3 linked regions of the Oreochromis niloticus genome follow. The protein of the gene in region 2 interacts with the protein of the main gene of each other region in a pairwise test. Links are inferred from orthologs where the notes say so. Each region holds a gene or a part of one and is shown on either strand. Other genes may lie near its edges. The genes, in order: trim2a, cib3 and enox2.

Region 1 (7,793 bases), on a different chromosome or scaffold from region 2:
CTCTGTAGCCTCTGCATTTTTACTGCAGCAGTTGTTTCTGCAAGTAAGAAGTTAACATGAAGTCTTAATATTTGCATTTAGTTTTCTCTGATGTTAAGCATCAAAAGCCACAAATGAAGCTGTAAAATGAAAATCACCTTTGGGAATTTGGAGCTGATGCAGGGTCATCTGCGGTTTGATAGTTTACTTTTTTAACGTCATGTGTTATTAAAGTCAGAGCTTTACTACGCTGCCCTGGTGATGACCTTACTCTGTATCACTTTAAAGGACATGCTGTCACTGCTTATTAGTCTCCCTCCATCACTGTGACCTTTAAATAAGCGTGTGCCTGTAAATGCTGTCTACAGCCCATAACAACATGCTAGGAGTTTCATACTCATGTACTCATACTTACTACACCCTCAGGGATTACCTGTGATTACAGCACACAGATTAGCTGCCGGTTTGGATGCAACTGCTCAGATTTTTGAAAAAAATAAGTGAAGCAATCAATGACCCTATAAATACAACCAGTGGGTTAAAAGTAAGTCGGTAACAGAGCGAGCGAGAGTCAAGAGCTGATCTGAGTGGGGCTTTCTTCTGTCTTCAGATCTTCATTACATGAAGATGTGGTGAAAGTCAAGCCCCCAGACTGACCTCACAGCACAGAGAGGAAGTGCTCCGGAGAGAAGACTGGAACAGAAACATGAGGTGAGGGTGTTTTTCATTCACTGATATAAAACATCTCCCTCGTGTTAGTTTACTCAACGCTTTTCAAATGATGTGCTGCAATAAGACAAGACAATCTTTGTGTTTATGAACCAACGTGATATTCGGACCATATTACCTTGTGAGTCACTCAGTTTTTTAAATTCTCCTTTAGTCCCTAAATTGCAGTCTTTTACACTCACCAGACACTTTATTAGGTACAGCTCGATGTTACTGGGTTCCCTTTTGTGGCATAAATTCAACAAGGTGCAAGATGTCTGCAGCATCACACAGTTGCTGCAGACGTGTTGGCTGGATCGGACATGTTTAGCAGCAATACTCAGGTGGGCTGTGGTGTTTAAATGATTAGCAGCTGGTAAGAAGCGCTTTTCTGGTGTGAATTGTAGCCTCAGTTTCCTGTTCCTAGCTGACAGGAGTGGCACTCGGTGTGGCCTTCTACTGCTGTAGGTGTGCCTTCTTAGTCGCTTGACACAGTCTGGCCATCCTTCTCTAAACTCTCACATCAACAAGGCATTTATGCCCAGAGAATGACTACTGACTGGATATGCTTTGGAGATGACAGTGTGGGAAAATCTCAGCAGACCAGCTCATCTGACGTGAACAACCGTGCCACATTCAAAGCAACTTAAATCACCTTTTTTGCCCGTTCTGCGGCTCGGTTTGAACCTCAGCAGGTTGTCTTTACCACGTCTAGGTGCTGCCCTGTGATTGTCTGATTAGATATTTGTGTAAACAAGCAGTAGAACAGGTACCTAACATAGGTGCGTGTATGTATTCTGTTTCAAGCTTTTGGTTTTACTACACCACAAACATTTTGCTGTTCTTTAGTCTTACTGTACGTCTTGTCAGTATCGGTAGATTGCCTGGTAACTGTGCAGTAACTTCAGTGTACATTTGCCTGCAATAACCTGCAATGATGGCCAAATTAAAGCCTCACGCTGGGCATTTGTAATGTCTCAATCATGTGTTCCAACAAACAGCATGAATGAAACAAAAGAAATGTTCAATTATTCAGCAGCCATTCACAGAGCCCTCTGCTAATCCGGCCATGCTCCACTGAGCTAATAACAGCAGCAGGTGCGGGCAGCTGTGACCGGTGTGATATGAAATTATGGTCAAATGGTAAAACTCCAGTCTGGCCTAAAAATAAAAAGCACTCTGCCAGAGCATGGCCACACTCTAGTGTGGACTTTATTTACTGTTTCTGCTCTCCTGTGAAGATTTGATTTTAAAATGAATCAAGCTTTTTTTCTGGTGACATCAATCGATTCACATTTTTATGCCAAGCTACATCTTGTTGTGTTATTTGAAAACTAATTCAAGCTGCTGTCGTGACTCTAAACCAAACACTGAAAGAACCAAAGCAAATCAGCCGTGGAACTGAGTGCATGGTGTTTTTAAGGTTTAAGTTCTGAAGTAATTGGACTTTTCGTAAATATTTGATGTTTGTATGGCCATGTCAGCGCCTTAATATTTACTTTAAAGATTAATGTTAGACTTTTTCAGTCCATTATGTGCATTTAACACCTTTATTTTACTTTTGTGTACTTTTGGTGTAGATTTAAGTAAATAAGAATTAATATAAAAATAAATGCTGGTTACTGCTGATGCTAATGAGCTTTCGCTCACGTACTCTGAATGTGAAATTTTACATGCACTGGTGTGCTTTTGTGTTCTGGTGCCTCTTCAGCCTTTATTAAAACTCTTTTTAGGCTGTCACTGTACCGCTTTAGCTGTGAGGAAACAGAGGTGGGATGCTGAGAAGAAAAGGAAATCTTTGCACTGGGCCTGTGATTGTGCATCGCATGCTAAACAGGTGCCCTTTGACTGTGGCACACACACACACACACACACTGCCTGAGTTTTCTAAAATAGTAGTGAGGCCTTCAGATGCGTCACCCTTCCCCCACCTCTGACGCACACCAGACAATAAACGCTACACAGCCTGTTCCTGCATCAAACGCAATCATTAATGGAAAAGGAATGCAAATAACGCGATTCTTTCTTTCTATTTAATCTGAAAAGAGTCTTTCATGGGCGGCTGCATAATGTAGAGTTGCCATGCAACAGCCTCCCGCATAAAAAAGGGAGGGGCTTGACAGGAAACCACAATTACGACTGGCGCTTGGACGCCCATCAGGAGTCCTACTAGAAGCTGGAATTATACGACCAGCTTACATTCTTTTTAACTCAATAAAAAAAAATCTTATCTATTTATTGATTGATTGGATAAAAAAAAACAACATCCAATACAAATCCATCCATTAGATTTCTTAAACCCTTGTCCTGTTCAGGGTCAAGGCATGGCTCAAGCCTATCCTTATTGTATGAAGAGCTGGGAAAACTCTAGACAGTTAACCATGGTATAGTTAAATATTAGCCCACAGACAGCTTAGTTTAAGCCATCTTAGCCTAATTTAAAACAAAATGACAGCTAACACGAACATATCTATTGTTATATCGCCTGCTGGTTTTGGACTCTGCATTTCGAAACCTCAACAATGGCCCGTTAGTGTTTTGTGACAGACGTGATAACATTTGAAGGAGAGCAGGAGCTAGCAAGCATAATTAGCAAGCTACACCCATGACCTGCAGAGGTGCCATGCACAGACACATAGTTGGTTACTTATGGAGGGCCTCGTTGGCCGAAATGAATGAATTAAATAGAATTCATTTTGGCACTCTAGGCCCTCCGTAGTGGTTCAGTACCACACTTAGAGTAGACTAATACCAGAACTTTACTCCTTAAAACTTAATCAAACTTTGCGGCTGGTCTGTAGCGCACACATAGCCCTGACATAAGTCAGATAATTCTATAACAAATGCTTCAAATGGCTCCAGCAGCACAAACACTGTGAAGTTCACTTAAAGTTCTCCTCACACAGAAAACTATCCTACAGCTGTCTGTGTTTGCATACCCAGCTCCGAATCCAGTTATTAAAAAAATCACTTCACTTCTCTGCAGACTTGTGAAGCTACCCGCAGAGACCAAAATCCCATTTTGTATCAGACTGTAAACTTGTTTGTTTTTTTGTTTTTTTAATTCTGTAAAGTTAAGCATTTTAAAATAGGATTGACTCACTAATGGATTTAGCCTCAAGTGGCCGCTAGAGGAAATGCAGTTTATGACACTCCATATTTTAGCTCCAGTGGTCACTTGTCTGTTATCTGGTGAATAAATAAAATAGGGTCACCTGTAAAGTTGAATGAATGAATAAATAAATAGAATATTCAATTAAAAATCTATATAGTGCCAAATGACAACAGCTGACTCAAAGGCTTTATATTGTAAAGAGGCTACAATAATAAATACGGATGTTAGCTAGCAGTTGATGGACGGCTGACGATTTAAAGTTTGTTTGTTTGTTTAATTTTTTTGGCTAACTGTCCTTTGTTTTATTTATTTCAATGTATTTTTTCATAGTTACTTTAAATATTAAATTACTAAATGTGAGATGTTTGCCTCAGAGAGTGTGTAAGGAGGGTTTTTTTTGCCACATGACAAAACTACGTTAGCTTTTAACTTACCCGTGCTTCCTAACTTTATACTAAACTATAACCACTGGTATTTCTTACCTAAATAACCCTAAAACCCCGGTCAGTCAATGTCTTCATGCAACTTTTGGCAACGAAAATAATTATTTTATTATTGTGTGTGTGTGTGTGTGTGTGTGTGTGTGTGTGTGTTTAAATTATGTAGAAAGCCTACTTTTCTCTTAAATGTATTGTGGTATTAGGCCCGATTCCCAAGTGATAAAACAACAATAAATACTACAAACAGTTTCCTCGGTGAGCCACAGAAGTACCAAACACTGAAGCAGAAATAGAAATAACTCTTTGACAATCGGTTATTTTTACACGTGAATGCATTATTGATGAGTTCAGACTGCCTCCGGATGCTGTTGCCTTTCCCTTTTATTGTCAGCGGATCCCTTTAATAAGTGAAGTGGAAGTGAGTTGAAGTGGCTCTCGGTTCAGCTGTAGTGTGAGCGCAGAGCAGCACGGAGCGGAGGACGGAGGGAGCTTAAACGGGAAAATCCCAGCAGATGACGATAACTGCTTGAAACATCCTCAGTTTCCGCGGATAAGTCTGCCTTTAGGTAAGTGGAAAACATCAGCTGTGTCTGAACCAGCTTTAGGATTTGGCTTAACGCAGTCAGAGCTTCAGAGGATTCACATCTCTGTGTTAAAATGAAATGCATCCAAACATATAAAGTGCAGATGTCCAGCTGCTGGTTTAAGAGCGCAGGTCTGCAGCGGGACAACAGCGTGCCTACGTCCGCATCTTAAATCTGCGAAAACTTGAATGAACCACTGATGCGCTTGTGGTGAGTGCTGGGGAGGAAGGATCGCATGAGTTCCGAGGCATTGTGGGATTTTGTTTGGCGTTTTCAGCGCGTGTGTTGTCTGCACGTGTAGTTCTCTGTGAGTATTTACAGTTTGAACTTCAGGCTTGATCTTGAAGTTTAGCTGTCACAGCGCAGAGTCTGGCATGAGTAACGCTGTAGTCGCCGCACTGCACCTGATTCTCTGCTGCTTGTGACAAGCTGCTGTTATTTCTGCAGTGAAACGTGTCTGACCGTCGGATTCATTGAGAAGTCATCTGATTTTAGCAGGATTCATTAAAAACACTGAGATGAGAGCATTTCTGCAGATTCGGATGAGTTAGTGATTTATTTAAATAAAAACAGTAACAGTAATTTTTCAGGGAATAAATGAAATAACTAAATCTTGAATTGACATTTTGACACCATATACACCTGGTTGAACGGTTTATACACTGTGTGTTGATTTTAGAAATTAAACACGCTAATAAGTGACCCTTGGACTTGTGCTCTCCCTCTGCAGTCAGTTTACAGATATAAGAAACTTGAATTGAATACTAAATGAATCCTTTGATCAAAGGTGACCAGAGAAGTCTTTGACTCTGTTACACTGATGGGGTTTTACATTAATTTTGGGAGTTTCTACGACATTGCCATCATTATTCACAGTGGACTGTCTCAATGGCTCATCAGCAAGCCACATTCATGTCATTGTCATGGATTAAAGTGTGATTACATAAGCCTGCCCTCTCTGTCCACTCCTCTCTCTTATCCTGGCTCTGTGCGACAGAGTCTTTGATGTCCGAGCAGAAGTTTTCCTATGGCGGGCTGTTCTTTCTGTTGTGACATCAGAGATGCTTCAATGCAGTAAATGGTTGTGGGAACAAAAAGTAGAAAGTGGTGTGGTAAGGGCTGCACAATTCTGCCACCGCTGCAGTGGAGCATCATCCTCGTGCTAATCGGGAAGTTTTGGAAGGAAGGGATTCATCTTCAAGCTTCTTTTTCCCATCATGTGACTAAGTGGCACCGGAAGCCACGCGTGCCCATCCATCACATCCCACCTGATCGTGAGCTGTTCTGAGCCTACCTCATCGTTTTGATTCAAGTTGACATTAGTCTCATCTGTCCAGAAAAGGTAAACTGGGAAATGAAACGTGTCATCTGGACTTTGTGTTCTTACGTCTGATGAATAGTTTGTTGAAACCTCTGTGATTATTGTTGTGAATTCTTCTCTTCATGGGATTATTATGTGCCTAATCATATAAAAAGTGAACAGTCTTTAGTGAAATGTAAAATGCATTTTGTCGATAAACGTGTTTAATCACTCGTGATATTTAAAGAATAGTTGAGGTACGTTGTCTTGATACGCAGTGTGTAGTGTCAGCAGTTGCAAAACACTTATTTTCCCTCAAATCCACCCCTCATTCTCATCCATGTCAAAGAAATTACTTATTTATTACTTATTAAATTACTTAGAAAAAAAACTATGAATAAGCAATAAAGTAGCACACACCTAATAGCAAGTTACATGACAAAACATCTGTTTAGCCATAAATATATAGAAAATTTTAAGATCATTTGCAACATAGATACTCATTAAGGCAAATGTAGCTTTGTTACAGTATCAATCAGCAAATAACCCTGATATCGACTGACATATTTTTCCATTACATGTCGGCTGGTGGTGTTAGTATTGATGTTTTTCTCGTACAGTGACTAAAACCCCCGAAGGCTTGCTGTTCTGCACTGTTGCACTGTGACATTGTCACCCCTCAGGATCAATGGACCCAGCTCTCTGAGCTCTGCCAGAGCTCAGAGTCTGTGTGGTTAAAGCTAAGTGATTAAGCTAGAACAACAACCAGCTTAGTCACTCTTTACTCGGTAGTAGCTCTGAGTGTATCTGAATCATTTCTGTGACTGCAAATCAACAGGAGAACGAAGGACTTCTGAGTGACATCGTTTTTGAAAGGGCAAACAAACACATTATAGATTATGTACATGAAGTGTGTTGGTGAGCCTATTATTAGTGCTGATGTTGCATGGTGTGTCCACCAGGGGGCATGCTGCAATTTTCCGCACACAACAACTAACAGCTAATCCGAGCAGATTCAAGCGGAGTGGGAATGAGTAAATAAATAATTACACGTACCAAATGATTGGAGAATCTGTTTATGTGTTATAAACAGGTTCTCCAGATTCAATACATATTTAATTTTTAAATTACCAAATATCGGTATTTGTATCGGTCATAAAAATCCTTCTGATCTGTTTCTGATCCAGCATGCAAGACTTAACACTATCTTTTGGTCATCTCCAAATAATGAGGACCTCTGAGGTAATACTACAAGTTAAAGGCAACGCATATTGTAGTTATATGTGCATGTGCATGTGAAAACCTTTTACTTACTGTCTTTGAACATATTTGCACAGAGAGGCATTCATACCATTATGAGCATTAAGGCTGCAAACATATATATTTTGGGTCAAGGGTATTGTTAGTCACAATACAGGATACATAGGATACAATAGTGATGACATCATACGTCTTTCTTATCAAGTCATGGACAGTCCCCCCCCCCACCCTATCATGTGACCTATTGAGGTCACCTGACGCAAGATGTGAGTGGAGGTTGAAAGGAAGGGAGGAGATCTTAAGACTGCAATGTAAGAGGAACCTGAACCAGCCTAATAACTAAAATGAACACGTGAGCTTAGAGATGGTCTGCTTAAACTAATTAGGTAAATAAACTTAAAACTGCT
Region 2 (7,654 bases):
ATGCATCAGTGAATTATTCAGTTTAAGCCTTTTTGTGTCTTTGTTGGCTGTGAATTGAACATATTTTAGTTTTAGACTAGTCTGGTTGGACAAAAGACAGTTTTTTTTAAATATTGCTTTTGGACAATTGTGACTCAGTAAAGCTGACAACTTAAATTTTTTCATCTTATATTTTGTTAATGTGGCTGAAATATTTAGTGTATGATTAACTTAATGAAGAAAAGCTGTGTTTTCTTATAATCAATCCTTTTCATTATAGTGTAACTATGTTACCCTCTAAGCTTTTATCTTCTTTGTTAGTCTAAATAAGGAATGAAAAGTTCTCTTCACTCATCTTACGTGTGTAGTTTCACAAGTTGTCAACTGTTTTTTTAAACCGAGGCTTTAAGGAGCTGGTATATGATCCTAAACTTTCCATTCACCATCTGCTAGCGATCCATAACCCTTCAGCATGAATATACATTACTGTTGATGATTTCATCATACATTTTTTGCACGATAATCAGTTCAGTTTTACTGACAAACCGCTTCTTTAAATTCTGCAAGTTTCAAGATATGTTTAACTCCAGTCTGCTGTCTGGGATGTTGGAAACCAAACATCTTCTTTCACAACTCAAATCAGTTGCAGAAAATCCAGCAGTATATCTGCATGGCTCTAACATTAAATTTGCCCGTATTCTAACTAATAATAAGCTTAAGTCAATGCTGTTTTCTGCAGATTAACGTATAGCGATTTTGTTTCTATGATTGCCTTTTGCAAACAGATGTAAACGGTGCATGGTTGTTTGTGAAGAGCAGACTTAACATGAAACATTTCCTTATTTGGTGTAAAATGTTAACATTTAAATGTATTTTTTCAGCTTGCAGTGGCAGTAGGAAGGGTTATTCACATACTTTGTTATGTACTGAGTGTAGTGAAGTATGCACAGTATGATTTGTGAAACTGCAAAAACTTAAAAATTGGTTGGAATTAACATTGGTTTTAAAGAAAAAAACAAAAGCAATGACAAGCATCCCTGGTTTATGAAGATATTTTACCATAAATTTTGAAAGCATAGTAGGCCTTGAGGTCCCGTGGAGCCATCTCACTGAGGACAGAAAACATGTCCAAGAAGTCGTCCAGTGTCATATTTCCCTCTCCGTCCTCAGAGAAAACCTCAGCGATCCTCTGTCGAAATGGGTTGTCCTAAACAAACAGGACACCACAGCAGTCTAATAAAGAATCAGAGCGTGAACACACAAACGTTCAGCACAACTAACTTCTGCTTGTTGGATGTGATGGCTTGCAGTTTAGTCCTGTTCTATCAAAACTGTGCTGTTTGTGATTTTAAGTTTTGTTTTTCTGTTTGAAATCCAATAGAATCATAAAATTATCTTTAGTAATCACAACAGCTTGGAATAAGCGGCAACCTCGGGCATGACCCTGATCGTGACTGACTCACTCTCCCTTTCTTGGGGCATGTCAGTGACCAGCTTGTTAACACACCTGTTTACCTTGCTGCCACTGAGTAAAGAGGCATATAATTGACCCATTTCCAAAAAGTGTGTCCTCTGGGACCCACCAACATCCTTCAAGTTTAAAGGAGTCGGGTAACATATAACCGCTCAAAGAATTCTGTCGATTAATTGGTCATTAATTATGGATTGGGAACACAGGGAGAGAGCGCAGGTCTGCAGGGCGTGTAGTGCAGTGGGACTACCTTCAGCTCTGGCATGCTGCCAATCAGCTCATATGGTAACTTCACATCTGGGTGGTTGGTGTAGTCAAGAGGAACGAGCTGCGGTGCCAAATCCCGATAGCGGTAGAAGAGTCTAGGAAAGGTTTAAAAAATTTACTATCAATATTGAATTACAAGATATGTCCTATAATATGTAGAGTTGGACTTTGAAGGGACAAGTTAGAAAGGAAAAGTTAAGTTAAGAATTTGCTTTTCAGCTACGGACACTATTTTGAAAATGGAAAACATTCAAAACTTACACACTTTCCAGCACAGTAAAAATAGCCTGTGATCTCAGTGGCAGTCTGCCCCACATCAAGACAGGTGTCCTGATAGTCTAGTTTAGAGTTACAGTATGGTATTGTGCAGAATAGAACAAAATTCAGCTCTGTCAAGCATGCTACATAAGCAATGACTCAGGAGATTAATGAGATCTAACACAACTTATCCTGAGTACATGTTTAGTTATCTAGGTTTGATCTTTTCTGCACTGGAGGGATGTCATAAAGCAGGAAGTATAAACAAAATAACTGAAGTAATGTAGGCTCACCTCAGAATTTCCTTTCTTGTGAAATATGTACAGTCCTGTAAATACAATTTAAATTCAATGTAAGCTGTTTACATACAGTGATGTGTATAATATTTACTCAGTAATAGCAATACATCAATAAAAAACACTTATTTTACACAATTTTATGCATTTTGTAATTATAACAGTAGAGTTGGTAAAGTACAGAAGTAAATTTTTGGAAGCAAATTATCAATTGCTTACAGCACAGGCAAAGTGATCTACTATTATTATTATTATTGTTATGTATCAGCATGTTATGGTGATGTTGTGGTTGATCAAAGCAGTGAAGTTCAATACTTTTTTTAATGGCAATTATTTTTGTGTAAATATTCATTTAAAGCACACAAAGTTTCTCCATTAAAGGAGCACCAAAAATCAAATGAAATACTTTGTTTATAAATACTTTACTTACCATTTACCATTTATTTACCATATGACATCTCTAACTTTGCACCTCAAATTACTTCTTAGAGTTTTTTTCCATCAATAATGATGCAAGTCAAAAGCAAAGCAAAGGAAGTGCTGCACCACATGGGGTAGGATCCTTTTCTTTTTTGCTAATAGTATGAAGAGGTCTGATTAATCTTGTTCGTAGATGTTAAGCTAATACTGATAACGGTATCTCCATTCATTCTCAGTGAGCCTTATCAATTAATTCATAAAGAAACAGGAGTGATACCAACCTGATAGGCATCTAGCTGCTGTGCCGTAAAGATGGTTTGTTTATTTCCCATGTCTGAGCGCAGAAACACAGAGTCTCAGGTCCATCGCTGCTCCAGCATCAAGTCCTTTTTTAAAGTGGGTATGCTAGTTATGAAATACTCTGACAAAGGGAAGCCAGAGCCAAAGAGGAGATCAGGTGTCTGGCTGCACCAGGGCCCTTTGGTCCCCACTATAATGGAGGCATTTCATCGTTTTCTCCATTGTGAATAGAAACCCCTTTGACAGTGAATAAGGGCTGTCGTCCAGCATCATGCCAAGTGGTATCAACCCCCTTTGGTGGCACTCTATGGCCAACGCCTTGTTCACCGCTCAGGTTACACTCTTTAGAGACAGGGTTTTGTAGTGGGCAAATAGAGTTTTTGATGGGAGACAAGTTTTGTTTCAGTTGAGAACTTAATTGCTGTATCGATAGATAGATAGATAGATAGATAGATAGATAGATAGATAGATAGATAGATAGATAGATAGATAGATAGATAGATAGATAGATAGATAGATAGATAGATAGATAGATAGATAGATAGATAGATAGATAGATAGATAGAAAGAAAGTTGTGAAGTGTTTTAGCTTTTAAGTGTTACAGAGCTCACTTAAAACTGAACTTGTGTTGACTTGTATGCACACAAAATGAGTGCAGAAACACCTTGAGGCACAGACATAAAACTTCCCTTTGATCCTGCAATTATGATTTATAATAGCAGGTGTACAGTATCAACTTTACCTCACTCTATTCCAGGTAGGATGAGTAATAAGGATGAAACTTACCAGAACAACCAGTGATTGCAGTCATAAAAATAAAGGCTCAATAAAGGTTAAACCTTTTGGGTCATATATTTTATTTTGAAAAATCCACATCTGTCTGCAACAACCCGAGATTCTTTGGTCCCGTTAAAGACCCCAAAGAACAATTTCAATGATGCTTCTATTATAGAAAATATTGTGTTTTTTGTCTTCCATACCACATGATTCACCACATCATAATTCATGTCAGACACCAATGCTTATGATGCACGGCATAAACACCTATGAGCTGTTAAAAGACATTAAATGAACAGAGACATTACATCAGTCTAATTCTTGGAAAGCTTCCTAACACTTTGACTTTAGCTTGTGATGCGTTTTATACGAGGTCACAGAGAGCTGTGCCATCTTACAGCTGAACACATACCTTACTGTACTGATGGGGCATCTTTAAAGGACTCTCTATTTATAGTCCAGCATATTCTGTCTTTTTTCTAATGCTCCTATTTCATGAGCATCTTTTTCTCCAGCAGCAGAAAGCTCTGGTAGTTTTGTCTATGTGTCCAAAGGCATGCACGTTAGTTTAACTGGTGATTCTAAATTAGCAGTAGGTGTGGATGCAAGGTAGATAAAGCAGAATAACAATGTGGTGTGAAAAAACTCACTGTGGCTTTTAGTGGAAACTGTTTTGAGTGGTCAGTAAGGCTTAAAAAAAAGCACCTTTCTGTTTGCCTTTGTTCCGTGCTCTAAGGATTTATATTCCCGGATTGATTCTTGCTATACTCTATGGAGAGAGAGTTAACAAGATAAATCTGAGGGCTCAAAGCAATGAGAGGAACATCTAAACTAGTGAAGAATAACTGGGTGGCAAGAGGAATTTATTTAAATCAACAGTTAATTTACTGACATTAACAACAAAAGTCAAGGACACTGCAACTCATGAGAATTACTGTTTGCAGAGGAAAATGGTTTAACTGTAAATGTGTGAATACTTTTTAAAATCATCATATAACAACATATAACATTTTGCTGTTACATCACATTTGATAAGCTATTAATTTATTTGTTTAGTCATATTATATTACCACTGTATTTACCTAAGACATTGTGTTCTATGTTTGCTGTTTAACTAAGATTTACTTTCACCCTTAAAAACTTAATCTTAACCATAACCAGTATAGTTATTATAACCATTGTAAATATATAATTGATTCCAAAACAAACCAAACAACAGGGACTATGATAGACATTATAACCTTCCCAATAAGGGCTTTTATTACAAGACTGTGGAGAAGTATAGCTAAATGTATGTTTTTCTTTTAGATTCAAATACATACTCTTATTTCAGGAATGTCTTTTGTTAAGAGGATGGTTTGTAGGAGGATGGCCTTTTGTGCTCACTGGACCCAATTCTTACCTAATCGGGGAAACCCCTTTGGACATCAGTGCCCTCTAGTGGTGAAAAGGAAGATGTCCAGTAGGCTAGTGGAGGCCTCTTGTTTGTAAAGTTAGTATTCAAACAGCCTGAATATACTCAGTGCAGATGAATGACATAAGATAAGATGCCTTCACTGTCATTACATACAGTGATACATTAATATTGCAAGTGGTGGTATAGTGCCATAAAAAATGCATTACATGCATCCATGTATACATAATAACGCGATCGTAACATGAACTATTTAGCGATACTGAATTCTGATGAGCCTGATCTAGCACAACGTTAGGGATTACTTTTCTCAAAAAGAGGAGCCAGAGAAACACTTCTGAAAGGCAAAAGACGAGCTTTAATACAGATTTTTGAAAACTTATAAAAGTCCACAGAGCTGGAAAACATGGGGTGGAAATAAAGGAAGCTTAAAGTAACTGGAGACACACAAAAAAGACTCATCACAAAAAAAACAGGAAGTATTAGAAACATAAAATAAATATAGACATGAGCAAGGGAAGGCAAGGCAGGAGAGAAAGGTGAACGCTAAGAAACAAGAAATTACATCCATTGTAATCATAGCAGGTCAACAAGTTAAATTTATACTTTACAAAAAGGTTACAAGCCTTTTTTTCATATTTCATTTGTTAGAGTTTTTGTTTTTTGGTGGTTGGTTTGAATTGTGAAGCTTTGTTAAGCCTCACAACTGATGCATCAGACTGATGCAAGGGCCAATAAACAAGACTTTCATTTACAATATTTATTCAAATATATCCCAACACAAAACATAAAAAATACAGATTTACAAATTTATTTAACATTCCTTTGATTATTTAATATCATTTCAATTACTTTCATATATTATAATTTATCATTATTTACATATACTACAGTGTCACATGTAGGACTGGGCACATGATAGTTGCAGTCAAAGTTTCCAGGGTCAGCTGACCAAGCTCTATTTACAATGTTTACAGTTTTTAATCTTCGCAGCCCGATACCAGTGACTAGTTAACGTTAGTGGCACCCACAGCTTCCAGCCACCATGTCATTGTACTGTTTTAAAACCACGTTCTCATCATCATCAAAGAAGAGCAAGTTGATGGAAAAGAGCTTGTCGGGCACACAGCACGGCGTCTCAATGCCTTTCACCAGCTTCAAGGCATTGATGATGGACTGGACAGTGGCGTGGTTGGTTGGTTTCATGGTCTGACCCAGAGGAAAGGGGCAGGAGCCTTTGCAATAGTAAGCGTTGTACCCCTTTGGTGATACGATCCAGCCCGACCAGCCGATCTCCTCGAAGTCTACGTTGAGGGGAAACCGCTGGCAGTGCGTGGTTGCACCATCTGCATCGTAGCCCAGAGATCGAGCACTACGGGAAGGTGGACCGGACATGGGAGTCTGGGGCAGGTTGGAAGTTTCTGCTGTATCATCTGAATCTGGAGAAAGAAATCCACTGTTTTAAAAATGCAATGTTTGAACTGTTACTAAGTACATTCCATAAACAGAAGAGGAAGCAGTGATGGACAAGTAGATCTAGAAGTTTGAATGTAGAGTGCAAAGAAATATAACATCTAAAGCCCTTAAGTGGGACACACAAAACACTGAAAGCTTCATTTTTCATCAAGCTGTTGAATTGTAAGCATACTCCCAGTCAGTCACAGGCCAGTCGTACGTGAGTGTTTCCTTCATAAGCATGCAAAATACTGGTTGCACATGTGGATGGAAATATTGTCAGCACTGACCTCAGTGAACATTTAGTTCACTCTTCCATTAAAACTAAAACTAAGGCTGCTGTGCTTATGAATATAGAGACTGGAGGCTGGTTTCCCTTTAACCACTTTAAATCTTATCTACAAGGCTGCTATCTTCACTTTTAATTAATATCACTGGGAGTAACTGACATTAAAGTAGAAATCTCACCTTTGCTCGCAAGAGGATTAGAGTAGCGGCCATCATCAGTAAAGAGAACCAGCATGGGCTGTTTGCTGTGATGGTGGTGGCGCCCTGAGGCAAAGCGGATCAGTTTTTTATCCATTTGGCTCCCTCCCAGTGTCCGAACCACCACTTGAAGTCCCAGGTTGGTGCCCTCATCAACCATCCGGGAGCGCACCTTCAGAAGGAAAGGTCATCGGTTTATTTCAGCACTCTCCACTGTCCAGTGTAGCTCAAAGCAGATATTTGTGGGCTTTAAAGAGTCGGTGATACTTACTGCGTGTGTGATTGTGAAGACTTCCCAACCAGAGGAGTGCACTGGGATGAGTCGAGAGGAAAGCAGCTTCTTCTGCGTAAAATTGGTTGTGCTGGAGTCAAGCAGCTGATAAACACTGACCTGAAAGAGCCAAATTAATGTAGACAGAATTAGAAACAGCCATTCAGCCACTCAGGTTTAAATACCGGTCTACAGCTGGTCTACATACCTGGCTGAAGTGATGTCTGTTTAACGTCAAGGGTGCCTGAGGTCTCAGCTT
Region 3 (6,912 bases), on a different chromosome or scaffold from region 2:
CTGTCTCTGCTACAGCACGTTAGCCCGTCACTGTCCAGCTCTCCGACAGTCCATAGCGGCTGCCTCCGTGGTGCAGCCAAGCAATCCGGGCTAGCCTTTAGCCTCGGCGATCGTAGCTGGAAACACAGTTTTCCACGGTGGTGCGACCGTTGAAACAAAAAGTCACTTCACCCACACTCTGTTGCGAAGCTCCCACACGGTTAGCTTTCTAGTTACACACTCTTTTGTGCTAGTTAACCTCAGTAAAACTAGCCGAGTCTCTCACTTTGGTTCAGCTAACCTCGTGCATCTCTCCATGCCGTTCTCTTCTCCTCCTCCATTGCAACAGATACACAGGTCCCGTTTTATGCTACCTTCACGGGCCTCCAGAAAATTAGAACTCTGAACAATATTTTAACTCCCTTCAGAGTTACATACCATAAAATAATACTTTATGATTAACATAACAGTTTGATTGCTCTAATTACCTGTATTTACCTTGTGACATATTACAGGGCAAATTAAATTCAGGGTACAGTTACATCACATAACTGTGAACACCTTATGTTACCGTGGCGTTCAAGTCCATGGGAATTATGAGTATCTACACCCAAATTCGGGCTACATTAGTATCGGTTCATGGTATCGGTTAACTTTTACGAGTACGAGTACGCACACATTTTACAGTATCGGCCCCGATACCCGATACCAGTATCGGTATCGGTGCATCCCTAAAAGAAATGCACCTCAACATGAACCTCTGGAAATTAATGTATTTGTAGAGCCTTCTCAGGTAATGATCCTCCATATTTTTAGAGACAACCTCACCACTTACGAGCAATACCTGGCCACTTAAGATAAATACAACAACGTTGATTCTGATATTCCATTTCAATCACACAGCGGACATAAAGCTGTTTTGCTGCATAGTGCCCACACTGGTTTCCTTAATTTCTACTGCCAAAGAACAGCTGTTTGCTTTCCACCCATTTTCTATAAGTTGGCTTATAGATCAGCTGCCAAGTTAAACTGTTATTATCCCAAGGCTTTAAAGCACAGAGCAACAGCAAAGGAATATAAGGAAATAATACAAAATTTAAAAAGACCACAAGGACTAGTAATGGTCGCAATATAGCCTTTTATAGGAATTTGGCTGCATCACAATTACTGATTATGGATAACCATGACAATAATACATCTGCAATTCTTCATTCTGTACAGTTTCATTGGTACAGTTGTGGCTGCACTTTTTCACCACCTGCTTGCAATGAATGTATTCAATGTATTGCAGAGAGAGTACTAACTCGGACTGAAAAGAGAGACCATATTTTTCCTATATGAGCTTCTCTTCATTGACTCTCTGTTAAATCCAGAACTGAATTCAAAATCTTTCTCCTCACATACAAAATCTTGATTAATCAGGCCCCATCATACCTCGAAGACTTCATAGTACCTTATTATCCTAAGAGAGCACTTCATTTTCAGACTGCAGGCTTACTTTTGGTTCACAGTTTTAGAAAGTAGAATGAGAAACAGAGCGGTCAGCCACCAGGCCCCTCTCATGTGAAACCTGGTTTGAATTCAGGAGACAGACACTTTCCTTTATGATAAATCTTATAGCCAGGGCTTGATCAGGTGACCCTGAACCCTCCCTTAGTTATGCTGCATTAGAGTGCTGGAGTGCCTCCCATAATGTATTGAACATTTCTTTAGTCTTCTTTTTTGTTTCACATTTCACTTTCTATGTGTTTATATACCACTGCTGCGTTTAATCATTGCTAATTATTACTAAGCTCCGGCTCTCTCTTTGCCTTTTGTCCTGTCTTTCTATGCTCTCTCATCTTTCTCCTCAACCCCAAAACACCCAAAGCAAAATGGCTGCCTCACCCTCTGTCTGGTTCTGCTGAAGGTTTCTTCCTGTTAAAAGGACCCAACTTTAACTGTTCTTCTTTTTTTTTTTTTTCCTTCTCACTGTCACCAAGTGTGTGCTCATAGGGGGGCGTCTGATTAGGGTTTCTTTCAAATATTGTCGGGTCTTAACTCTACAATATAAAGCACCTTGAGGTGAGTGTTCAGAACTGGTGCTATAGAAATAATACGTAATTGAAACGAATAAAGAACCAAGCAATGTTAGTTAATTTTAGGGCCAAACAAGGATCAGACAAATCTTAATGAAACCTTACTCAAGCAACACGCCAATCAAACTTCCCATGCTTTTCCAAAATTAAAGTTGCTTTAGCAATGGTGGCATTTAACACAAAAACACTTCAATCTAAGTACTTACTATCGTAATCAAGTATGCCCAGTATTTTATTGTGGGACAGTTTTGCTTTAATTTACGGTGACAAAAGATGAGGTAGAAAATCAGTAAAGAAAACCGGTAACAAACAGCAAGTCTCCCTACCTGCAGGCTTTTGCTAAAGCCTGCACTGGCTGCTGCAATAAACTGTTCTCTGCACCCAAAATAACTTCCTGAGCACCGCTGCAAATCACAGTAAATGGTTTTGACTATTACAAGACTATTATTCGCTCCGCCTCTAGCGTTTATTTGGCGTGGAGAGGAACATTTTTACGGCGCACGCTTTGCGGTCAGAACTCAGCAGCAGTATGACTGACTCGTATTTCACTGTGAAACAGACTTAGCGGTTGGACTTCCCGTGCTGATGCTCCAAAGACGCTTTAAAACATTACGCTTCCACACAGCTCGATTAAACACCAAGTCAACCCAGTTCATAAGTGGCAAAGTCAGCCAACTTAACGAGTTTACTCTACCATTTTGAAACAAAAGCATGGCTTCAGATAATAAAGTGCTCTGTGCGCTTCAAAACACATTATGTGCTTCGCTGTGAACTTCCAAAACAGAAGCTAACACGAACTACTGATGTCGGAAGTTAGCACCGGTGAAGTGAAAGAGAAAATGAGGGAGAAAGTATAAAGTACCTGTCTAAGGCGTTTGTCCTCTTCCATGCTTTCTGTGTTGTCGAAAAGCTTCCTATAAAGCCATGGAAGGCTTGGAAGTTTCTTTCTTTCGCTGTTGTTGAGTTGGTAACCAGGAAAGCCTCTGGTTAGCAACGAGACCTGTCAAACAATGGCGGAGCCAAGTACGGCAAGCGGGAGGTTTGACACGTGCTTTTCGTTGACGTTTAGTGTTTTGGAAGGTTTCGTTTTGCAGCTGAGCGTCAGGGGAGAGTGTCCCGTCAAAATAAGAGCACACCAAAGACTTTAAACTGTTAAAAGGAACCAGCATTGTAATATAATGTTCTTTTGGCGAGTTAAGCTTTCCTTCAAAACTGTTTTTAAAAGTAAAGACGTATTTAGGCCTAGATTGTCCTTTAAAACAAACAAACAAACAAACAAATAAATCAATAAATACTTTTTTTTTAATCCTTTAAAAATCAGAATTGAGCTTAATAAGTTCCTGACCATTAAGTTCATGATAATCACTCTCATTCTAAATAGTTATATTAATTTAAACAACTTTGGAAATCTACTTTGTTCAACTTTCAGTAGTCATACGTGTTTTTAATTTCAGTATTTATTGTCAGATGTTTACTCAGATACAATATTCATATGAAAATTTTAAAATAATATCAGTAACATTATAGGGGAGCACAAGGCTATGACATAAATGTGTAATATATAATAATATAATAAGATTAATAATATTCCATATGTTCTCAACATGTGTTTGTAGTGGTTGCTTGCTCCATATACATACATACATATATAACAAAACCAACCAAAAAGTAGATTCATAACGTATTTTAATTTGAAATGCATTTAGTCAAGAATTTGGAACAAGAGAAAAATTGCACTTTTTTTCTTTTTTAAAAAATGTATTTATTTGAAATGATATTTTGTAACCACGTTTTCAGCAACTAGGTTTCCATCTTGGTCCGTCTTGTCCTACGATAAGTGCAATTTATCTTAGTATTTTGCTCACAGATTATTTTTCAGATTTATGGGGGGGGGGACAGAAAATGTACTGAAGCTGTAGAATGGGCCTTAGATTTTCACTAACATGGCCTGCATTTTCTAATTATATTTGCTTGGGAGTTTAACCACGCGAAGAGGAGTTCACATAAACAGAACTAGAATGCAATCATATGGCTTTAATTATTGTCTAACAGAATTGCACCTGGCAGATTAGAAAATGCTTTAAAGCAACATTTTGACAACAATAGGACAATCGTTTGTTGTTGCAGACTTTTTTGTTCTTGACTTAATTCTTAAATATGCAAATGAATTATTTAAAAGTACTCATCAAATGGATTATAATATTGCTTATTATTAGATGGCAATTCTATTTGTGCTTTAGCATATGTTTTATGTATTTGTTCAGTAATAGGGGATAAGAATATGCAAATAGCTGGATTCTTATCAATAGGTTATGCCTATTGCATACTGTGCTGTGATCCAGGCTGCATTGACATGCGTATATAAATTATTTCAAGGCAGAATTTCAAGAATCCCATACAGCTTTTTCTTTGTTATATAGAGCTTCAAGCTATCAAAGTCTAGATGTATTATATATTTATTATTCAGGCAGTGTTCCCAGAACCTCCAGAAAAGGATTGATGGACTGAATTTTTGTCTTCGTTTTATGTCTTGGATGGATTTTCTTTTAATTAGGCAAAAATATGTATAATTCTAACCTCCTAAAGTTGGGTCCACAAATCTTTTTTATCTGTTCCTTTTTATTTTAAAGACAGATCTGTCCGTCTGGTGCATTTATCAGAAGTCGTTATCATCTCCTTAAGCTGCTGTTATTCATTTGTGGCTACTTAATAGATCCACTTTAAATTCCAATTCAAATTAATACCCAACCATTATGCAGATGGGTTTGATGAAATTTAAAGTTGAATGAGTTATCCTTGCAGAGGCCAGTTATTCTCTGGAATTAGAACGAATATGTGTCCACAGAATATGTGTAGCCAGCTCTGCCACATTTACTTATTCAAAAAATCCTGAAGCATACATAAAAGTCTGTTTTTGCAAAAACAAAAACTGGAAGCGAAGTGGTCAAAAGCAAGCACATTTACTGAGTTATGTGGTACATTAGCTGAGTAATTCCATTCTATATTATAATCAAGCATTTTTAATACAATAAACAAACTTTATTAATTCGAGTTATACCCGTGCTTCACAGTTTCTAAGGGTTGCCGGGGACTCCTTGTGATGTTTAGGATGTCTTTATGTTTTCATGATTTCCTCCGTGTGATTTCACCTTTAATTTTCTATTGTGCAAAGAAGTAACACTGTAAATAAATAAATAACTCATTAGTCCACACACAGAATACAAATGTGTATAGCAGAACTTTATTGTAATTTTTCTTATCAGTTATATCATCTTATGACCCCTTGAAAATGTACAATGACCCTTTAGAAAAACTAAACCCTTTGGCTGTGCCACTGGATTAAACTGGACCCAATACAGGTGTACTTTGTTTTTCACAGGACTGCATGAAGTCGTGAAATTTTTTTTTTTTCATATGACAGCACTATGCGTCTCAAACTGAACACTTTGATGTTAAATAGACTATTTCTACATAGATGTATTGGCCCTTTTCAGTAAGTCACATCATTATTTTCTCCACCAAATCCAAACTTTCCTCTCTAAGCTACTGTGAATGACAAGCTGGACTCTAAGCATTCTGGTTTGTCACAGGTTTATTTGCTGTCATCGTTTCTCATTTTGTCCTTGTGGTATCTGAGCCTGGGATTTGCAAGGCTTACTTTGTCTTCATCCTAATCTTTAACAACAAAAAAAGCTCAAAGCTGATTCTTGTCACTTGCACACCACTTAAAGTGCACCCTCATTGAAAGATGACAGAGTTATCTGCTAAATGTCTCGATTTAATCTTCCGAAAGCAGAGAAATGGACAAGTCACTTTAAAGTCTCTAATACCACCTTTCTTTTGATTAAGCAAATTATTTCATTTTGTGTGCAATTTCACTTTGCTCTCAGCTGTATTTCATGCCATCTCCTACTCCACAGCTTATTGTTACTGTTGTAGTGGCTAAGCTCTTTCAGAGATGCTGGGGCATGAACAAAGCCAGTGATATCTAGTGAATTCTCATTACAAGGGGATTATTATATGTGCCAGCATGCATTTCACTCCCACATCATTACGTGTTTTGGACAATTTAATGCCAATTACTCCATTGCTAATGCTTTTTTGCACCCACCCTTTCCCCTTAGGCTCATGGTGAAATTTGACATGTTTTGACAACTTAGTATGAATTCATCTTGCTTGGTTTGTTTGCATGAGATTGCACTACCTGGTAATCACTATTTGCTCTCCATCTGATGTCTGTTGCTCCAGTGTGATGTGGCATGAATACTTATCATAGCTCTCTATGTCACATATGCGCCAGTTAAAGGGGGGAGTACGGCAAAGTGCAAATACTGATCCGAGGGACCTATTAATGTTTAATGATCCATTAATATTCCCAAATGAGGAATACTCCCTGTTAACATGTCACTCCCAGCTGGAGAGAGGGGCTGTTACCTGGTTCCCAGTAGGTTGGTTCAATTAGACACTGCAGCACAGCGTCAGCTGCACAACATAAGGCTGTACTTCTTGTGCATTACACATATAGCTTTGTTTGTTTTCACTGTACTTCGTGCAGTCACTATTGTAAGTTTGTTGTCTTATTCGTAGACATTTGGGGAGTTGTTCCAAGAGTTTCTTCTGATTTTGTTATATATATATATATATATATAAATAAAAAAAAAAAATCAAGGACGCCTTACATGAGTTTTTTCTCCTTTTGTTTAGTATTTTTTTGACCACATTCATTCATCAGGTCTTGGTGGATTTCAGATTTTGTTAAAAGGTTCTAATGCTTTTTGCAGCTTAAGCTACTGAATTTTCATCATTAATCAATATTTTCTTTCCTTACACGACAGAAAGAAATGACCCAGTACAC

Evidence for each region.
Region 1: the proteins of cib3 (region 2) and trim2a interact in binary tests that used the Homo sapiens proteins (3 or more experiments, as listed by UniProt). The two-hybrid records come from large-scale screens. The link is inferred for Oreochromis niloticus from reciprocal best matches to the Homo sapiens genes CIB3 and TRIM2.
Region 3: the proteins of cib3 (region 2) and enox2 interact in binary tests that used the Homo sapiens proteins (3 or more experiments, as listed by UniProt). The two-hybrid records come from large-scale screens. The link is inferred for Oreochromis niloticus from reciprocal best matches to the Homo sapiens genes CIB3 and ENOX2.

What each region holds. Positions count from the first base shown.
Region 1 is NC_031971.2:13,887,854-13,895,646, reverse strand, and holds the start of trim2a (tripartite motif-containing protein 2), read left to right. Parts: upstream 1-4,703; 5' UTR 4,704-4,808; intron 4,809-7,793. UniProt on the Homo sapiens protein: UBE2D1-dependent E3 ubiquitin-protein ligase that mediates the ubiquitination of NEFL and of phosphorylated BCL2L11. Plays a neuroprotective function. May play a role in neuronal rapid ischemic tolerance.
Region 2 is NC_031982.2:23,282,882-23,290,535, forward strand, and holds the start of cib3 (calcium and integrin-binding family member 3), read right to left. Parts: upstream 3,069-7,654; 5' UTR 3,024-3,068; coding exon 2,973-3,023; intron 2,304-2,972; coding exon 2,269-2,303; intron 1,813-2,268; coding exon 1,701-1,812; intron 1,187-1,700; coding exon 1,039-1,186; intron 1-1,038. Other genes in the region: admp (anti-dorsalizing morphogenic protein), read right to left, coding at 6,201-6,622, 7,107-7,296, 7,396-7,515, 7,604-7,654. UniProt on the Homo sapiens protein: Acts a an auxiliary subunit of the sensory mechanoelectrical transduction (MET) channel in hair cells. Plays a role in regulating hair cell MET channel localization and function.
Region 3 is NC_031966.2:17,190,786-17,197,697, reverse strand, and holds the start of enox2 (ecto-NOX disulfide-thiol exchanger 2), read right to left. Parts: upstream 3,100-6,912; 5' UTR 2,920-3,099; intron 1-2,919. UniProt on the Homo sapiens protein: May be involved in cell growth. Probably acts as a terminal oxidase of plasma electron transport from cytosolic NAD(P)H via hydroquinones to acceptors at the cell surface.